3 linked regions of the Bombyx mori genome follow. The protein of the gene in region 1 binds, or shares a complex with, the protein of each later gene. Links are inferred from orthologs where the notes say so. Each region holds a gene or a part of one and is shown in the gene's direction. Other genes may lie near its edges.

The links.
Region 2: actin-related protein 2 (region 1) and actin-related protein 2/3 complex subunit 2 share a complex: the UniProt entries of both Homo sapiens proteins name them as parts of the arp2/3 complex. The link is inferred for Bombyx mori from reciprocal best matches to the Homo sapiens genes ACTR2 and ARPC2.
Region 3: the proteins of actin-related protein 2 (region 1) and actin related protein 2/3 complex subunit 4 are in contact, whole or in part, in a cryo-EM structure (PDB 6YW6), measured with the Homo sapiens proteins. The link is inferred for Bombyx mori from reciprocal best matches to the Homo sapiens genes ACTR2 and ARPC4. Residues at the interface, in NP_005713.1 of Homo sapiens: Tyr222, Val223, Tyr225, Gln229, Glu230, Lys232, Leu233, Ala234, Leu235, Glu236, Thr237, Thr238, Val239, Lys253, Thr308, Met309, Tyr310, Pro311, Gly312, Pro314, Ser315, Asp346; in NP_005709.1 of Homo sapiens: Val29, Val30, Glu31, Arg32, His33, Lys35, Pro36, Glu39, Val40, Ala98, Glu99, Asn100, Phe102, Ile103, Leu104, Arg105, Arg106, Lys107, Leu117, Thr119.

Annotation. Positions count from the first base shown.
Region 1 is NC_085130.1:7,235,381-7,239,465, reverse strand, and holds the start of actin-related protein 2, read left to right. Parts: upstream 1-1,170; 5' UTR 1,171-1,350; coding exon 1,351-1,398; intron 1,399-1,482; coding exon 1,483-1,593; intron 1,594-4,085. Other genes in the region: CCAAT/enhancer-binding protein zeta, read right to left, coding at 6-117, 596-754. UniProt on the Homo sapiens protein: ATP-binding component of the Arp2/3 complex, a multiprotein complex that mediates actin polymerization upon stimulation by nucleation-promoting factor (NPF).
Region 2 is NC_085109.1:10,839,337-10,843,581, forward strand, and holds the start of actin-related protein 2/3 complex subunit 2, read left to right. Parts: upstream 1-1,382; 5' UTR 1,383-1,700; coding exon 1,701-1,774; intron 1,775-2,281; coding exon 2,282-2,375; intron 2,376-2,737; coding exon 2,738-2,837; intron 2,838-4,245. Other genes in the region: ubiA prenyltransferase domain-containing protein 1 homolog, read right to left, coding at 1-50. UniProt on the Homo sapiens protein: Actin-binding component of the Arp2/3 complex, a multiprotein complex that mediates actin polymerization upon stimulation by nucleation-promoting factor (NPF).
Region 3 is NC_085122.1:8,792,846-8,795,856, reverse strand, and holds actin related protein 2/3 complex subunit 4, read left to right. Parts: upstream 1-1,634; 5' UTR 1,635-1,702; coding exon 1,703-2,209; 3' UTR 2,210-2,488; downstream 2,489-3,011. UniProt on the Homo sapiens protein: Actin-binding component of the Arp2/3 complex, a multiprotein complex that mediates actin polymerization upon stimulation by nucleation-promoting factor (NPF).

The DNA of each region.
Region 1 (4,085 bases):
CTTACTCGTTTCATAAGCTAATGTATCACCGTGCAAGGCACTGGTGGCTTCCTTTCTTAATTGTTCAATTTGTTCTGTCGATAATGTTTTTGGCAACGTGACTGGTTCTTCAGGTAGCTGAAAAATACAATTCACATTAGTTGAAAACTTAACTGTGAATTGGATAGTCCAACTCAATTCTTAAAGCAAATAAGCTTTGGCATAAACATATTTTCGATCAACTCATACTCTTTAAGATGTGGTACACTAGTCAATTTTTTTAAATCTTTTTTTTTATAGTGTTTAGGTATGAGCATCGTATGAGTATCTCTAACTGGGTTGCCAGTCGCAACCGCCATTCGAGCAGCTGAGGACCGGACGAGATGGAAACAGCTCACGAGACAGGCAACGGTCAAGTTTCAGGGACACGACCTTCAGCAATGAAGAAAGCGACGAAGAAGAAGAAGAATGAGCATCGATTACTAATACGACTGGACGATCGAAATCATAGTAAAGGTTAAATACAATTTTGAATTGATGTGTTAAAGCCTTATTTCCTACGCTTTTTTTTAAATAGGGAAAATAAACATTTAGACTTATGTTCTATATCACAAACCTGATGAAACCATTTCTTTTTTTCACCATATTCAAGGCTTTCGGCGAAATTCTTTGCGATACCCTGGCCTTTCTTATCATCTGCGTTCTTATCAGCTTGACCGTAATTAGTGTAAGCCTCATCAATTAATATATTTTCCTCAAATCTTTTATGCTTCATTGTAAGTTATTGTATCATGTTACGTTAAATATAAATAAGGCACGTGAAAACCTGAAAACAAACGTTTCTCAAAACCATGCCTTTCTTGAAGTATGACATTTGTGTGACATTAGATAAATCATTACTTTGGGCTGTCAAATGTCAGTGTCAGGGCCTAACCACTGAAGTATGGCCTAACGAGTCAGTTTTAACGAGCCAAATAAAGTCACAATGAACATTTTATTTTGCTTCTTAATTAATTAAATATGTTAGTTAATTAATGATTAAATTTGGTTGAAATAGCTAAATTAAAATTCTGACAGTTTTTTTACGGACAACACAATATTTCAATACACATGCTAAAAAGACTAATTACTTCAAGGAGAAGGTGTGTCACACAAGAATTTAATTTTTGCATTCAAAATAAAACTTTATACGAAGTGTCTTTAAAGGTGTATTTTGTACTGCATATAGTTTATGACAACGATTTGTCATTTTTACAGAATTGTGAGATTTGCTTTCCGCTTTGCGGGAGTTGGGGAGTTGTGTAGTGTTCTAAAAAACAAATTACATTATAACTTTTTAATATTAATAAAATAAATTAAAAACTAAATAAAATGGACGACAAAGGACGGAAAGTTATCGTTTGCGACAACGGTACCGGCGTAAGTGAACACAAAATTTGTAGACTATTAGAATTTTTAGATAAGCTCTGAATCACGTACGGTTTTCCTTTCGATGTATTACAGTTTGTGAAATGTGGCTTCGCTGGTAGCAATTTTCCGGCATTTATATTCCCTTCCATGGTCGGCAGGCCGATCATACGCGCTGAAAACAAAATAGGAGATATTGATGTTAAGGTAAGTGGAAGACACTTTTTCTCATTATTAAGTTGACAACAATTTTTTTATTGGCCTATTACGAACAAATGAACGTTAATGTAAAGCACATAGAAACCTGAAGGACAAACTTTTGTAACAAAATTAATAAAATCATTTTACCTCTATAAAAATAGTTACAATACTTAAAAGTTTGTAAGCCTTGTTACAGCAAGGAAGACAAAAAGGAATTTCTGTTCATTATTTATAATATTGATCTGTGTTTTCAGGATATTTGTATTGGTGTAAGTAATATAAATACATCTAGGAATGTTTTATTGTTCTAACGTTAATTTTCTTTCTGATGTGTGATGATGATTAAATGCATTATTAACAATTGAAACAACAGTAGATTCTTTTTTTAAACCAAAACAGAGGTTTCATTTAAAAAATTAGTCTGGATTATAAAATATGGAAAGAAAATTCAGGACAAACTGTCTATCGACAGTCTGTTTGCCTATTCCATTGGAAACTAACTGCATGCTATAGGAACTAAAACAATGAGTGTTAGAAGGCTATTAAAAGATTGAGATATGCTTAAGAATTTTAATAGTCTCTTCGTATACTTAAAGAGTCCAGGAATGGGGTTTTGGGAGGCTTAACGACAAAGAGAAGATCTTCCACCGAGCGGGTGATATTGCTCGGTAGACCGATGGTCCGAATGTTGTTGTTCGGAACTTGTATATATGCACTTTATCTTGAAAATGTTGTAAGCGAGATTCAGGCAACTTGCTTTGTATGATGGTTACCTGCCACAGGGTGATAGTGACATCCATGCAAAGCCAGTATTTACCAGATTAGCAGGTTCTGACTTGGAATAGTGAAAACCAAGCATTATATACTTTGTGGCTTTATAAAGATATGAATGAATAGATATCTCAAGCATGAGGTATCCAATTTGTAATAGACTGTTATCTCCAAATAATGTTATCAAATTCTCAGAAGCGCTGTTTGGAGATGAAAACTAGAGAAAAGGGGACTAACATATATTATGTATTAAGTGTGCTTAAAGTGTCTTGTGAATATCTACCGAACTCTACCCTTAAATACGATAATCTTACATGCTGTTTAGTTTTACTCCAATACAATTAAGTTTTAGAATTGAAATCTTCTTTCAAAGATATACATTGGCAAGAGAGTTATACTGTTCACCTAATATAGAGTTTTTACTGAGTAAGCTAGATATGAGAATGTGGATTCTGGTGTATTCTTAATTTGACAAATGAAGTCAAGTGGATGCTACATATTGGAAGAGTAATAAAGTCAAAATCTCATTGATATAATGGTATTCTTATATTATTGCTGCAGAACCAGGTATAACTGGGGTCTCTCTGATATTGATAATGAATATCTACATAGTGTTAGATTTCTTTAACTTCCATAGTCTCTAAACATCTAAGTGATTGTTTGATTTGAATTAATCTAGATATAATTTTTTTTTCAAAAAATCCTTTTCTAAAATTCATTTATTTGTTGAATTTTTTTAGTATTCATGTTCAAGACTATCTGTCCTATGAATAATTGAAACAAATCTTGTCCCAAAAATTGTAAAAATATGATGTTAAAAATAATTACACTACATTTTGAGATTACTCAAACTCAACTTTTATTACTAAAAACACAACTAAAAATGTTGACAAAACAAGGCATGTTTTCATTTTTAACTCGTGTGTGTCTGTTTGTGAGTGTTTGTCTATGTGTAGATTATAAACTAAAACACTTTCTACTGGTGGTAGGACCACTTATGAGTCCGCATGAGTAGGTACCACCGCCCTGCCTATTTCTGCCGTGAAGCAGTAATGCGTTTCGGTTTGAAGGGTGGGGCAGCCGTTGTAACTATACTGAGACCTTAGAACTTGTATCTCAATGTGGGTGGCGCATCTACGTTGTAGATGTCTATGGGCTCCAGTAAATACTTAACACTAGGTGGGCTGTGAGCTCGTCCACCCATCTAAGCAATAAAAAAAAAACACTGTAGTGTTTGACAATTTCGCCTTCTTCTTGACTTTATACCCTGGTTTGTTATTTACTCTCCTGTTAGTGGGAAATTTGCACTCAAAAATAAATAAGTCAAACACACTTTTTTTTTATTGCTTAGATTGGTGTACAAGCACACGGCCCGGCCCACCTTGTGTTAAGTAGTTACCGGAGCCCATAGACATCTACAACGTAAATGCCGTCACCCACCTTGAGACATGACTTCTAAGGTCTTACTTTTAACAGTACAACGGCTGCCCCGCCTTTCATACCGAAACGCATTACTGCTTCACGGCAGAAATAGGCTGGGTGGTGGTACCTACCCGTGCGAACTCACAAGACGTTCTACCAGTAATTTGCTCATAATTCATTATAATGTTATCGTAAAATGAATCGCAGAATCTATTTAGCTACATCACGGGTAACAGTCATAGATATATGTATTTGAAGAGCAAAGCAAATTTACTGTCTAATCTCCCGTAAAAATACATTGAATA
Region 2 (4,245 bases), on another chromosome or scaffold:
AAGTTGCCTTCTTCACCTGGAATATCTTCTTCTTTTCTTTTTTGTTCCATTTTTTTAAAGCAAATTGTAATTAGGTATAATTGTCACAAAAATAAATCTGACACAACAATCACTATCCAAAGTATTGCTAAAATAAGCAACCTAAGAAATTAAATGAACCAAATAAAGAAGCACCAGGTGACGATGTTAGAAAACAAACCAAAACAAACGGTATTACTGACCATAGATTATTTTTTTGGTACAACTTTTCCTTATTAGGAAAGGCAAGGGAATCTAAGCCCAGCCTTGTCTGTTCTATTGACCATAGATAATATACCTATCCATAGATTATACACTTAGTATATTTGAGATAACTACCTACAGATACGAAAGAACGAAAAATAGTTGACAAGACAGCAGCCAGAATCATGGAGTTAATAAGTAGAATACAGTAGAATATGGCCAGAATACATATTTTTTCTTTGATTCGTTCAATGAATGGGCAAAGGGAAAATAACTCATACAAGTCAAGTAGTGTGTTTGGATAATTTTTTATTTTTTTTTAACCTTGCCTATGCTGATAGTCTTGAGAGGCTATTTCAGCTTCGCCCTAACGTTTGTAGGCGAGCTCGCGGGGCTCAACCGGAGAGTTGCTAGCACTGACCCTAGCAAGAGCAGTGCTTCGCAGAATCTACCACCGGATCGGAAACGCGACCCACTGAGAAGATCCGGCGAGAAACTCAGTGGGCTTGGAAAAATTAGTAATTTGAATAATTAACATTTTACCAAAAGCCGAATGGTGCTAAAGGAAAATATACTCTTTGATGTAAAATCTTAATGAAATGAAAGGAATCAGGTGAAATGAAATGCTGTCCACAACCTCTCAGTATAATGATAATTCTTTTTGAGAGTTCAATAGACTTCTTTTTTAAGAAGGAAGGATTACTTGCGGCCAGTTACCTTTTTAGTTTCACCAAAAGATCTGAGTGAGTACGGACTCAGCCAGGAAGAGTGGAGTTTGTTACCAGCTGCCCGAGCAGCAGTAATTCGCTGAATCTACCACTAAATCAGAAGTGCCACACACTGAGAAGATCCAGCAAGAAACTCAATGGGGCTAAAGGAGATAAAAAGTATGTTGCTGAATCTTGATAACTTCACTCTGCTTTTAGGCGTAGTTTTCAGTTAAGACAAAAAAGACCCATATTCTGGTTTTTGACATAACCGACGTAAAGGTTAAGTTTTTACCACACAAGCACACTTTTTTTTATGATGTTTAATATTTTTCTCAAACAATTCATCAAAAAATAATAAAATATAGGAAAAAGTAGTAACAAAAGGACTGCAATAATTTACGAGTTCAAAAAAATCAATGACATGTCATTATATTCCTAAGAATTTAGGCTGATGTAAGCTTCGCTTGCATCGTGAATTTTTTATTAAAAATTGTTTATATGTATGTATATTGTCTTCATTTTGTAGATAATTGTCATTTTAGTTTCCACTAAAATCTAAGAACTTTTTAAGCTCTCGTTCATATATTCAATTTACACTCTATGGTTGCTTGTCGAATTTCATTAAATTTTTTCGTTTCTTTTCTCTGTCGTTTTTGGTTGTCTATACGCACGGGCGGTCATCGTAAAAATTCTTACTTAAAAAAATTAAATGAAGGTGCTCTAGGCGTTGATTTTATGAAATATCTGTAGGTTATAAATTGTTGAATAATGATCTTACTCGAGATCAATAATAGAATTATAGAAGAAACACTAACGGTTAAATATAAAAATGCACTGGCGCGGTGAGTACGTTACACTAGAAAGTTACTGTTTTTTTCGTGATTAGAATCAATTTATCGAGTACACTGTTTACGGTAGTTATTTAAATTTTAATAGTCATTATGATGATGACTCCTATAAAGATTGTATCCTGGGCATAACCCCTCCAGGGGAGGACTTGACAAGTGTCAAGATTCACTGGGGGTGGTCCCACGTTGACGGCTGGAGTACAAATACCAAGTGAATTGTGCACTTAGTGTCAGAGAACAGGTATTATTGGAATTAAATTCTAATGTGTCACGGTCACAGTGACGCGTTAGTGCCTATCACGACTTGGATGAGTCATATCGGTTGTTTATAAGTGCCACATATTTTTGTCTGCGGAAATATCCCATATAAAGGCTTAGAATTCCAATGACCATATTGCCCGTAAACAATGCACCGAAACTGATACCAAATGTCGCTACTAAGAGGATATGACTAATTTATTCAATAAATAAGTGTTTATTTTTATCCCCTTCTGTTTTCAGCTTAAAGCCTGAGTCAATAGATGTTACTGTAGCTGATTTTGATGGAGTATTATTCCATATATCCAATGTCAATGGAGACAAAACCAAAGTTAGGGTATGTATGACTTGATAAGTGATAGTTAAATCAAAGAAACTCAATACAATGATGTCATATTAACTAGTAATGTGTAGTTTTATGTTTAAAATTGTTTTGTTATTGGTTTGAATAAAAATGTCAATAAAACATATAAACACAAAACATAAATCTAGCAATTAAAAATGTAAAAATCAGTAGCTGAATGAGGTGAGAAAATAGGTTTGTTATTTGAAAAATTTGGAAAAACACCTGGAGGAAATGTTGCTAAACCTAAAAAAAATTCTATGAAGAATAAATAGAATTATGTTTAAAATTAAATATCAACAGACCTTCAAGCTTAGACTCATAAAATGTACATAATTACAAAAATATTATTTTAGGTTAGTATATCTTTGAAGTTCTACAAGCAATTAGAAGAACATGGAGCAGATGAGCTCCTCAAGAGGGTGTATGGACCCCTTCTTACTGAACCAGAGTCAGGTAATTACACAAAGATATTTAAATTTTGTTTTTTTCCTTATAATGGAAGAGATGTGGAGAATATATATATTTTTTATTGCCCTTGTAGGCAAACCAGCTTACGGCCGACCTAATGGTGAGTGGTTACCGTTGCCCATGGACTTCAGCAATGCCAGGGGCAGAGCCAAGTTGCTGCCTACTACTTAATTCTCCCACAAGCCTCGTTTGAAGGAGGACATGTCATAAAGTTCGGGAAACACGTTGATATTATGGTTTATCTGATGGTATCAGTTACTAAGAGTTCAAACTTATCACAACATGAATGATGTGCCCTGCCTTGAGGTATAGTCTAAATCTAAATTATATTAAAATAATGGGTATCCTATCCATGAAACAGAAACGCATAATAGCAACAGCAATGGGATGAAAAGCAATACTAACCTGTAAGGGTAGAGGTTTTTATATCACCAGTACTCTCAATGGGGGAGATTAAATAAGGGGACAGTTAATTAAGAATTTAGCTGAAGATTCTACCACTACAGATTGATGCTGAAGAAGTATTGGAAGTATTGTTTATTAATATATATTTATACACAACTGGATAATCTATTAGCAGTTTTGTTTATGCTGTGGTTGAAATTTTACTAAAATTACTGAAACCTCAGTGTTATTTTGTTTTTTTAAATATTTATTTTCTTTGTTTATTGAAATTTAGAGAAAAACAATTGATAATTTCTAAATTATGTTGATAAGGTTAATATTATTTTGTTGCACCTACCACTATTTTCTCGGCACTACCTTTGGTTGTCTGGTAGAGAATGCCTTAGGCATTAAGTCTCCCATTGTAAATTTTACATGAAGTGTAATAAATAAGTAAATTATTCAGTCTATCGCCAATTAAAAAAAACAGATTGACAACCAGAGATGACAAAGGTACTGAATTCCTTATTTATATTTAGATTATATAACATCACTTGGACTTATTCTACCTTATTTTCCTTAATTTGATATGTACTCATTAGTTGTTTTTGAAGGCCTAGCTGGCATTTAAAGTAAATTAATTTGTATTACATTAAAAACAGGAAATATGTATTTTATCTAAATTTATAGGAGAACATTTTTACAAGTATTTATTTGAATGAATCACATTACTGAAAAGGTGTTTTGAGTCTCCATACATTGGTAACTGTTATGCCTATTTCTACTGAAAAATATCTGGGATCTACCAAGATTTCTAGGCTTCAAGTACACGGTACAAATTCCTGTATGCATTTATGTTGTAATGTATAGGCTCCAATAATTACTTAACATTATGGAGCCGTGTATTATTCTTGTCATCTAGACCTTTATCTGCAACCTTGTCAACCAAAAGAGCCAAATATAGTATTATTGTATAGCATTTTGTTTTAAATATGTTTACTGAGCCAGA
Region 3 (3,011 bases), on another chromosome or scaffold:
TGCTGATTTTTAATAATAAACATTCTGTAAGAAATGAAAATAGTTACACAGGCTTACGAAACGCTAACGAAGAAAAAAGTATTGGAGCCAAGTTATGTCTAAAGAGAATTCAAAACAGAGTTTCTCAATGTCTAATCGTCTAATATTCTCATAAAGCTAAAAGTTGCTCTAAATTAATACTACAACGTAAAATAACTCACACCAAGACCAAAAAAAAACGATTTAAAAAATTAAATCGTTACGACATTTTGAAAACTTTTTTTTTTTTTGAGATTGTTTTACGGCCCTGGAATTTTGAAAACTTCAAAGCAGTGTTTCCACTTACGTTTTTTTTAACACATTTTACCCTAGTTTCTTTTGAATTTACCCTAAAATTTCCTAGACAACTTTCATAAATCCTTTATATAGAAAGCGTAAATAAAATACAGAAAATAAACCACAGCATATTATTTAATGTAGGTATATATAATATAAACGCCCCCAGAAGATCATAGATCTATAGGATTAGAATTTTCAAGGAAGTCGACGCATTGCTTTTATATTCTTTTGCTGCACAACCTAACACTGTTCGGTTCTAAAATTGAGCAATTGTTTGCTGGCAAAGTTGGGAACTTTCTATGAAGCAAGCCGTTCAGGGTTTCATTAGAAAGCCTGTTTCTTTTGTCAGTTTTTAAATTTGAGAACACTGAATAATCTTTCCACCTCAGTCTTTGAAGAAGGAACTGCTAGCAAAAGTGAAATGACAATTACAAGGTTTCGTAAATGAAATTACCATGATAATCTTTCATGGTACATGAAGTACCTGTATATTACAATACAAGTAAGTTCTGGTGACATCAACGAAAATAGGTAAATAAAAATTTGGCGGATTATACTTATTGGGATTCTGGGGAATCCCTAAGAAAAAGCAGTGGCTTAATCTATGATTTACTTTACTAGAAGGTTACTGTTGAATCAAACCTTTATAGTTTTTATACACAACTCTGTTTTATTCTTTTACTTGTCAACTCGACTTAATGTCATTCTCTCTCCATAAAATAAAATGTTCATTGTTTTACTTTAATTATCGTTTATTTTAAAATTCACAACAGTTACTAGTATAGGCTTTGCTTTTTACCCCGAAATATCCTAAATCCTGGTATTTTTTAAATTGTCTTTATCATCCAAAATATCAGCTATTTTTCCCTAAAAAAGGGAGAATTCCCTAAAAGTGGAAGCACTGCTTCAAAGTACGCTACATTTTTTATTGAGTCAGAACTCATATATGCCATCTAGTGAGTTTATTAGATCATTAATGCCTAAAAGTTACAAAAATGACGTCGCCACAGGAGTAAGATGACGCTAGTTGTATGTTATTTTCCTTTGTATGGGAGTTGCACCCCCCTGCATTTAAGAGATTTTAGTAAATTCTCTCCACTTTACTGAGATGTTATTTCATTATTTCTCATCCAATACCTACAATTTTACCTTATCTTACCTCAGATTCAATTCCTTAATAATCATTTAATTTTATTTAGTACATTTTCACACAACAACACACTTGGATTTGACTGTATGGCCTACCTTACCTTTGGCTATGTAATGAACGAATCAAACAATGATGCTTATGTCAAATCTGTCATCAATGGTGATAATTCATGACTAAAAAATTGAAAGGAACTTAAGGTGTGGCGTGATCTTTGCGAAAGTTTAATTTTCTACAATGGCTGCAACTTTAAAACCGTATCTAACAGCGGTGCGTCACACGCTCACTGCCGCTATGTGCTTAGAACACTTTTCATCGCAAGTTGTCGAGAAATACACCAAGCCGGAGGTCGAAGTTAGAACAAGCAAAGAACTTTTACTCAATCCTGTTGTTATTTCAAGAAATTCTAATGAAAAAGTATTAATAGAGTCTTCAATAAATTCAATTAGGGTGAGTATTATGATCAAGCAGGCGGATGAGATAGAGAAAATTCTTTGTAAAAAATTTATGCGGTTCATGATGATGAGAGCTGAAAACTTCATTGTATTAAGGAGGAAACCAGTTGATGGGTACCATATCAGCTTTTTGATTACTAACTTCCATACCGAACAGATGTATAAGCATAAATTGGTCGATTTTGTAATATACTTTATGGAAGAAATTGATAAAGAAATCAGTGAAATGAAATTGGCTGTCAATGCAAGAGCCAGAATTTGTTCGGAAGAATTCTTGAAGAGATTTTAACTACTTCTTTCAGTGATAGAATGAAACATCTTTATTGTACATAGAGTATGAATTCATGTGAAAAATTTGTTGCTTTGATGGCTATGTAATTTTAATTAGTGATGGAATTCATATAACCTTCATAGACAAATAAATTGTATCATTACAAAAATGACATTTAAATATGTAATTGTAGAAGAAACTAGATTTTTTCTGAACTTATTCTTTGATAGCCTAAAGGCCTATTCCAGGTAAGCACAGATGGGTAGGTGCTTACAGGCTACAATTGAACTATTAAAAATATTACGTTATTTAGATAGAGGTCAGGGAAAATACATTGCATACAGATATAAAATTTAATGCAGGTCACTGGTGCCCTAAGCGGCGCACTGAAATAATTACGTTGATTTCTGTTACTACACGCCTGGATTACCTAACTTTGCCTTCTTTTGTTTGTTAATGTATATTTTAGACTTTTAGGTCTTCTAAAAGATAGATTTATTCTTAGTACCTGTGAATTAGTCATTTCCAGACTCTACTAGATATTCCGGCACTTTAATATGTAGATCAAAGAGAAAAATCGTCATTATTACGTCAGTGTGCCGCGTAGGGCACCGGTGATTTACATGGCAGTCAACATGTTAATAATTATTGGGGCTTTGTTGACATATTCTATTGTGCTATGTGCTGAGTGTCCTATCTATGACTATTATTATACTACTGGGAGCCCTTTAAGTTCTTTAGTGTAATACCTTTTGACAAAGACAGCATGTTGATTTTGCTCCTTGAATTGTCAATGTCCACATTCCACCATAGACTGTTT